2 linked regions of the Daphnia pulex genome follow. The protein of the gene in region 2 purifies or fractionates together with the protein of the main gene of each other region. This does not show direct contact. Links are inferred from orthologs where the notes say so. Each region holds a gene or a part of one and is shown on either strand. Other genes may lie near its edges.

Region 1 (3,757 bases), on a different chromosome or scaffold from region 2:
AGAACTGCATGGCAGTCTGTTCAAGACTCGGTGTCTGAAATGTAAAAAGATAGAACCCAATCATGACAGTCCCATTTGTGAAGCTCTTAGGGGAAAGGGGTAAGATTTTCCTTTTTTACTTATTTCAAATAAAAATCTAATTGTCTTACCCTTATTAGATCACCATCCCCAAATGAGGTTGGAGAATTGGTTCCAGAATCATTGTTGCCCAGATGCAAAGTTTCTTCCTGTGGAGGCCTTCTAAGGCCCCATGTTGTATGGTTCCATGAAAATCTGGATTCTGCCGTTCTCAAAAAAGCTGGTAATTAGTACAATTTTTTCTTCGATGTCAATTTTTTATGTGTCCTATTTACGTGTTTATTTTATTATCTAGATGAGGAACTTAATAGTTGCGATCTGTGTTTGGTCGTTGGAACATCATCAGTTGTCTATCCAGCAGCAATGTTTGCTCCCCAGGTTGCTGAAAGAGGGGTTCCCGTCGCGGAATTCAATATGGAAACTACTCCTGCTACTCATCACTTTGGGTATGAAACACCTAAACATTTGCATGTCGTAAAGTTCTTTTCATAACACGTTATTGACGTTTCTGGCAGATTTCATTTTTCGGGTCCTTGTGGGGAACTTTTACCTAAAGCGCTGGCACCTTGACGATCGTGCGCCCAACTGTTGAATTGCTACAGACACTACGGTTTATAAAGACCTACAGCTGATAAATTAACATGCTTGTGCATTTAAAGTCGTATTGTTTTTATTATTTGTAAAAAACTACATATGCGTATACAAAACTTTACTAGAATCCGTACGTGAAATATTTTAAAATATGCGAATATTTGATTACCCCAATAGTTGAATCTTTAACAGTTGCATCAGCTTTATCCACGATAATGATTGATTAAAATTAGATTTTTACATAAAGACGATTTATTCTAACAGAGAAAAATATCTACAAAATAAGTTGAAAACTTTTGGTTGGTCATTTGAATTTCGGATGCTAATTGTCAACGAAAACTTAAGTAAGCGTTAAAAAGAAGGGAAATAAAAAAATTAAATTTTTCATATTTTGTGTGTGGAATTCTTTGTTTGTAAATATAAAAATATCACGTGTGCTTAAAAAACGAACGAAAAAACAAAATCAATTCCTTTGTCTGTGTTAAAGGGACACCAGAAGAGGCTTCGATTTTGTTGTTAGTTTCGCGCCATTTCACGTACCGAATGAAAAGAAGAGTGAGGGATCAGGGAAAGGGTATTGTGAATGGCTAACAATGTTTCTCAGTGACCTCAAACGCGAGTTTTACGATGTTATATTGGGAAAAGTAATAATGAACGACTGATTTACCGATATTTTGTGTGTGATATAAAGTAATGTCTTTCTCATATTTTCTTTGTACAGCGTGTCTTGATATTTGTGAATTTCGACGTGGATGCCATAGCTTCATGTCGAATTCTGCAGTACCTGTTACTTTGTGATTCAATCAGCTATTCTATAGTCCCTGTGCAGAGCCAAAATGATCTCATTTCAGCCTACAAAGAGAGCTGTGAACAGGTGAAAATGCATTCGTAATAATATATATAGTGTTGAAGAAGTGAGTGTCAATATAATTTCTACAGTCGAACCACATTATTCTGATAAACTGTGGAGGAACTTTGGACATTGTAGAAACATTAGAACCATCAGAGGAAAAAATCTTCTATATTGCAGACTCACATCGGCCATATGATGTTTGTAACATCTACAACGATGGACAGGTAAATATCACTGTTTACTTTTTATAGCGAAAACTTTGTTGATTGTGTGCCATTGTTTAGGTTTGTATACTGGGAAAGGTAAATGAGAAAGAAGATATACCAACATATGAAGATATCTTTGGGAATGATGATGACGATGATGATGATGAGGTAGTTAATTAATTGGCATATGTTTAAATTTGAAACTGATAAATTTTTAAAATAATTAGGGCAGCAATCCTTCAGATGGAGAAGCAAATGGTGATGGTGATGATGATGAAGAAGAAGTTCGTGAATCTAAATCCAAACGTCAGAAATTGGATCCTGCTGAAATGGTTATGCGTCGTAGAGAAAAAAGGCTATGGCATGAGAAAAGAAAGGAGATTTTGTTTAACTATATGCAATTTTCTTTTTATTCATCGTCGGTAAGTTTAATTCAAAATCAAAACTGTATTCAACTTTTATTACCATTCATTTTCGTCGTTTAGACTGCTCTTCTTATGTTTGAACTTGCCTGGAAATTATCTAGAGACAGCAATGACTTGTTGTGGTAATAATTCTTTAAATTTTTAGCTGAGTAAGAATGTACATGGTTCATTGGTATTGCAGGTGGGCTATTATTGGTGTGAACGAACAGCAGCTTCTGGGTAAAGTCGAATCAAAAACCTCGGTTCTTGATAATGGCAAATTGCAAAGTCACATGATTCGATTGGCCCATTTATCGCAACACGGTGGAGAATCGACAGGAACCAAAGACGCACTATATATAACCCACGAAAAAGAGTAACATAATATTTTTGCTATTTAATTTACAGTAATTTAAATTAACTTTTTGTTTAAACAGTTTAAATTTGTCAATGTACCGACACTGGAGTTTATTGGAAAGCTTAAAATACTCTCCTCAAACAGCCAGTCATTTTCAACTTTGGACACTGAAAGGAGAGAAAAAACTCAACGAGTTTCTAGCTGAATTGGGGTAATTTCAGAATCCAAATATATTTTACTACTATTATTGCAATGTCTTTTATTATTGCTCACAGGCTTCCACTGTCTCAGTGTCGCCAAAAATTTAACTCTATGGATATCGAGCTTCGAAATGATTTGCGTGCCATTTTCCAGAAAAAAGTGGAAAAATACGACTTGGAAGACCTCGTTGAATACAGTTTTAATTCTCAGTATGGATTCCGGCCAAAGAATTCCGCCAGTGACTATGTCTACGCTCTTATAGCGTTGCTTGATTCGGCCGAAAAGGATAAAGATCCAGCCGATGCATTTCACGACGCACTGGAATGTCTTTCAAAGTATGCTTCTTAACCTCAAGTCATCTTCATAGAAAGAATCGTGATTGAGACATTGTTCCTTTCATATCTTTTAGCTCGAAAATGGATGCTGTTTATAAAGGAATCGAACTGGCCAAGCTTCAGCAAATGGCGATCGGAAAAGAAGTGCACACCTGTCTGGATATGGGTCACGTGATCAGCGCAGGACCTTGTTTGTACGCAGTTATCCAAGACGTAATAATAATGAATCGTATTCATCCCTGACACGAATAGCATCTAAACAACTTGTGCAACATACAGGGGACACCAGACGCCAAGTACTATGGTTATCCGCACAGTTTGCTCATGCTGGGACAGTTTCTTCTCAAAGCCCACATCTCGCGAGCACGAGGTCGTGGATTGAGAGCGAGAGAGCTTCCACTCATCATTTCAGCCCCATCGGCGTCTCGACCATCTCATTGCCTTTTATTGGGTTTGCCTCCTTTATCATTGGATTCCCCTAAAAAGTAAGTGCCTCATCTCCTAGAATTCCATTTACCGTTTCTTAACCGTTTGCAACGATTGTCACAGCTTGATTGGAAAAGCCTTTGAGCAAGCAGCTGAAAATACCCAAACAGAAATCACATCTGTATTTTTTGACTCCTCCGGTATGAGATTTGTGTTGCTGTAGGTAGCGATTTATTTACTAATTCGTTTTTCTCTTGAATGCGCAGTGATCGAGATCAACTCGGAATGCCGAACCAATTTCTTGG
Region 2 (3,757 bases):
TCAAGACACATACCAACAGACTGAACCGGACCAACCCACTCTTCAAAGTAGTCCAATATTTGTTTCCCGGTGGTCGAGTATTGCAAGTTCGAAACAAACAAATATTCCTCGCGTACGCTGATGTCAGACTGCGGGGATTCGTGGCATAGTGGGATAGAATCCTGTGTTACTTCCGGTTCTTGTGACTGGTGGAATTGGCCATTATTCTGAAAATCTTGGTAGATGACGTAATCAGTTAAAGGTGTGTACGAACGATTCTCCAGTGAAGTTGGCTTGGAAGTTGGCAACAGGGTTGAATAAACTGGGCCAGGGATTACGATTTGATCCTTATACACACGTTTCTGGTTCACGAAGAGTTTGATATTCATTCGACGACCGCCCAACTTTGTTCCGTCGTAGAAGAGGGCTTTCCGGGCATGATCTGGCTGGTGGAAATATATTGCGGCTTTGCACATATAGTGGCCATCTGCGTTATGGTGCTTTGTAAGACAATCGACCGGTCCGACGTATTTTTCGAAAAAGTTGACAATTTCTTGCTCGGAAGTCTCACGAGCCAAATTGGTGATCCACACCATTTCGACATCTTTCACTGCTTCAATCGATTCCTGAAGAACAATTTCCTTTTGGTTTGTCATTTTCAAATCGTCGTATGTTTGACTTTTTGAGAAAACACTCTAAACTGAGCATGGTCATTGTAAGTCATGGTGTGAACTTATATGGGCACCGGGATCCGGAAAAACATCTGCAACTACCTGGCGAGATTTATTTTCTGATTTATAAATTGAACGCATTAGTTAACGAAAATGATTTCCGTCTATTTACAATTTTGAAGTTATTACCCATATTATTCATTCAAATGAAATACAAATTTTCCCTTAAATAAGAATAATAAACCAAATATAATGATCGAAAATTGATAATCAGTCAGAGGATCAGTAAACAATCCGCCAGGTAATTATTATTAGGTATGTCGGTATCCACTAATTTGGCCTGCAGGCCTGGCAAGAGACAAATATACACAATAAAAAAATTTGGTTAGTTCAATACATTTTTCTGTAAACATTTTATTATTTTTAAAACATTTTTAAAAAGTCGAAAACTCGGAAAATCACATTTGAATTTCAGATTTTCTTTGTTTTTTTTCTTTGTGCCTGACAACGTCGCAATCTTTCTCATTGCCATTTTCGCGCCAGAATTTCGTTGTCTGCTCATTCTGCGTGTTTGTTCTTGCACGAAAAGTGGTGATCAAAGTTTTATCCCTATTTTTCCTTTGATTATCTTAAACTATGGATGTTGCAGGTGCTCAACAAGTACAAAATAAACTCAAGGATGATGTTGCTCAAAGGTGTCAAAAATTGTTCTTGGATTTCCTTGAAGGGTAAGTGTACAAAGCTGTTCATGAATGATTGATACATGCTTAGCTGGGTGATGCAAAAACTTTCTTTCTCTAGTTTTGAAGTTGATGGTGAAGTAAAGTACTTGGAAAAGGCTAAAGAACTTGTAAAACCAGAAAGAAATACACTTCAAGTCAGCTTTCAGGATGTCGAGAAATATAACAGCAATTTGGCTGTCACAATCGTGGCTGAATATTACCGGTATTGTTCCTTACTATGACATTTCTGAACAACTTGAACATTAATTGATGTCTTTTATACATTTAGTGTTTACCCTTTCATTTGCCAAGCTGTTTATTCCTATGTGAGAGATAAGGCTGATTTCAATGTGGAGAAAGAACTGTACATCAGCTTTGTTGATGTCAGCTCAAAATACAAGGTCAGAGACTTGAAGACAGCTAGCATTGGCTCGCTCTTTCAGATATCTGGCCAAGTTATTCGTACCCATCCAGTTCATCCAGAATTGGTCAGCGCTACCTTTGTTTGCCTAGATTGTCAAACAGTCATTAAGGATGTAGAACAACAGTTCAAGGTAAGGTAGAAACACATTTATTTTTATTCAAATTTTTTTTAATGATTTTATTTTGCAGTACACACAACCTTCTATTTGCCGCAACCCTGTCTGCTTCAACAGAAGTCGATTCATGCTAAATGTTAACAAGTCCCGGTTCGTTGATTTTCAAAAAGTTCGAATTCAGGAAACGCAAGCAGAACTCCCTCGAGGATGTATTCCACGCAGGTAACTTCAAAGTGTTGAATTACTCATGACTAGTAAAGTGTACGCCAATCTGTTTAGTGTTGAGGTTATTCTACGAGCTGAAGCAGTGGAAACAGCGCAAGCTGGTGATAAGTGCGATTTCACTGGAACTCTTATCGTTGTCCCTGATGTCGGTTCTATCTCTGTACCTGGTGCTCGAGCGGAAAGTGGATCACGGAAAACTGGTGAAGGTCCGGAAACTGAAGGTGTCCGCGGACTGAAAAATTTGGGTGTCAGGGACCTAAACTACCGACTGGCTTTCTTAGCTTGCAGTGTTACCCAAAGCAACCCCATGGTAAGTCAAGTTTATCGATAAAAATGATATTTAAATGGTAACCCTGTTGGTTTATTATTAGTTTGGTGGTAAAGACTTGCATCAAGAGGAAATGACAGCAGTTGATATCAAAAATCAAATGTCAGAGCAAGATTGGAACCGTATCTACAATATGACACAGGACGTTAATTTGTACGACAATTTGATCAAAAGTCTGTTTGCCACCATTTACGGAAACGACGAAATCAAGCGAGGTATTCTACTAATGCTCTTTGGCGGTGTTCCCAAAAAAACCGTTGAGCATACTACGTTGCGTGGAGACACCAACGTCTGCATAGTTGGCGATCCCAGTACAGCAAAGTCGCAGTTTTTAAAGCAGGTAATTTCGGCAACAGTTTTCTTCCTCCTTACTTTTATTGTTATTATAATTTCTTTTACATCCAGGTCGCCGAATTTACCCCTCGTGCAGTTTACACTTCTGGTAAAGCATCCAGTGCAGCTGGTTTAACAGCTGCTGTGGTACGAGATGAAGAATCGTATGAATTCGTTATCGAAGCGGGAGCACTCATGTTAGCAGATAATGGTGTCTGTTGCATTGACGAGTTTGACAAGATGGATCCTCGCGATCAAGTTGCTATCCACGAAGCCATGGAACAGCAGACCATCTCCATCACCAAGGCCGGAGTCAAAGCAACACTTAACGCTCGAGCTTCAATCTTGGCTGCAGCCAATCCCATTGGAGGACGATACGACCGAACAAAATCCCTGAAACAGAACGTGATGATGACCGCGCCCATTATGTCTCGTTTTGATCTCTTTTTCATCTTAGTTGATGAGTGTAATGAAGTCGTCGACTATTCCATCGCCCGTAGCATCGTCGATCTTCACAGGAGAAACGTTGAATCGATTGAACGAGTGTACCAGACTGAGGATATCCGACGCTACATAACATTCGCCCGTAAATTCCAACCGAAGCTCAGTAAAGAAGCGGCTGACTATCTGGTTAACGCCTACCGCCAACTTCGTCAACGTGATGGTGGTTCAACCTCGTCAGCCTCAAGGATTACTGTTCGCCAATTGGAAAGCTTGATTCGTTTGTCAGAGGCGATGGCTCGCATGTATTGTCTGAGTCTGGTCACAAAAGACCATGTTAAAGAAGCTTATAGGCTCCTGAACAAATCCATCATCCGCGTTGAAGAGCCCGATATTGATTTGGAAGATGCTGAACAGCCAGATCTGTCGGTAGAGGAAGAAGAAACGAATGGCGTTCCTTCCAGTGAAGATGTTGACAAGCAAAAGGGAGCTAGTGGTGAGTCGGTTGATCCCACCGTG

The links. Proteins that work in one complex are often made in the same cells at the same time.
Region 1: the proteins of zygotic DNA replication licensing factor mcm6-B-like (region 2) and cell division control protein 45 homolog purify together in Drosophila melanogaster (affinity purification with western blotting; 3 studies listed by BioGRID, with this or other methods). This does not show direct contact. The link is inferred for Daphnia pulex from reciprocal best matches to the Drosophila melanogaster genes Mcm6 and Cdc45.

What each region holds. Positions count from the first base shown.
Region 1 is NC_060026.1:14,328,025-14,331,781, reverse strand, and holds the start of cell division control protein 45 homolog, read left to right. Parts: upstream 1-1,175; 5' UTR 1,176-1,262; coding exon 1,263-1,313; intron 1,314-1,390; coding exon 1,391-1,543; intron 1,544-1,608; coding exon 1,609-1,746; exon of another isoform or gene 1,747-1,806; coding exon 1,807-1,896; exon of another isoform or gene 1,897-1,955; coding exon 1,956-2,150; intron 2,151-2,193; exon of another isoform or gene 2,194-2,213; coding exon 2,214-2,275; exon of another isoform or gene 2,276-2,334; coding exon 2,335-2,508; intron 2,509-2,569; coding exon 2,570-2,701; intron 2,702-2,765; coding exon 2,766-3,026; intron 3,027-3,100; coding exon 3,101-3,239; intron 3,240-3,305; coding exon 3,306-3,511; intron 3,512-3,575; coding exon 3,576-3,652; intron 3,653-3,718; coding exon 3,719-3,757. Other genes in the region: NAD-dependent protein deacylase, read left to right, coding at 1-99, 159-301, 374-524, 594-648.
Region 2 is NC_060017.1:7,926,977-7,930,733, forward strand, and holds the start of zygotic DNA replication licensing factor mcm6-B-like, read left to right. Parts: upstream 1-1,182; 5' UTR 1,183-1,286; coding exon 1,287-1,378; intron 1,379-1,451; coding exon 1,452-1,595; intron 1,596-1,661; coding exon 1,662-1,926; intron 1,927-1,984; coding exon 1,985-2,133; intron 2,134-2,190; coding exon 2,191-2,446; intron 2,447-2,507; coding exon 2,508-2,804; intron 2,805-2,869; coding exon 2,870-3,757. UniProt on the Drosophila melanogaster protein: Acts as a component of the Mcm2-7 complex (Mcm complex) which is the putative replicative helicase essential for 'once per cell cycle' DNA replication initiation and elongation in eukaryotic cells.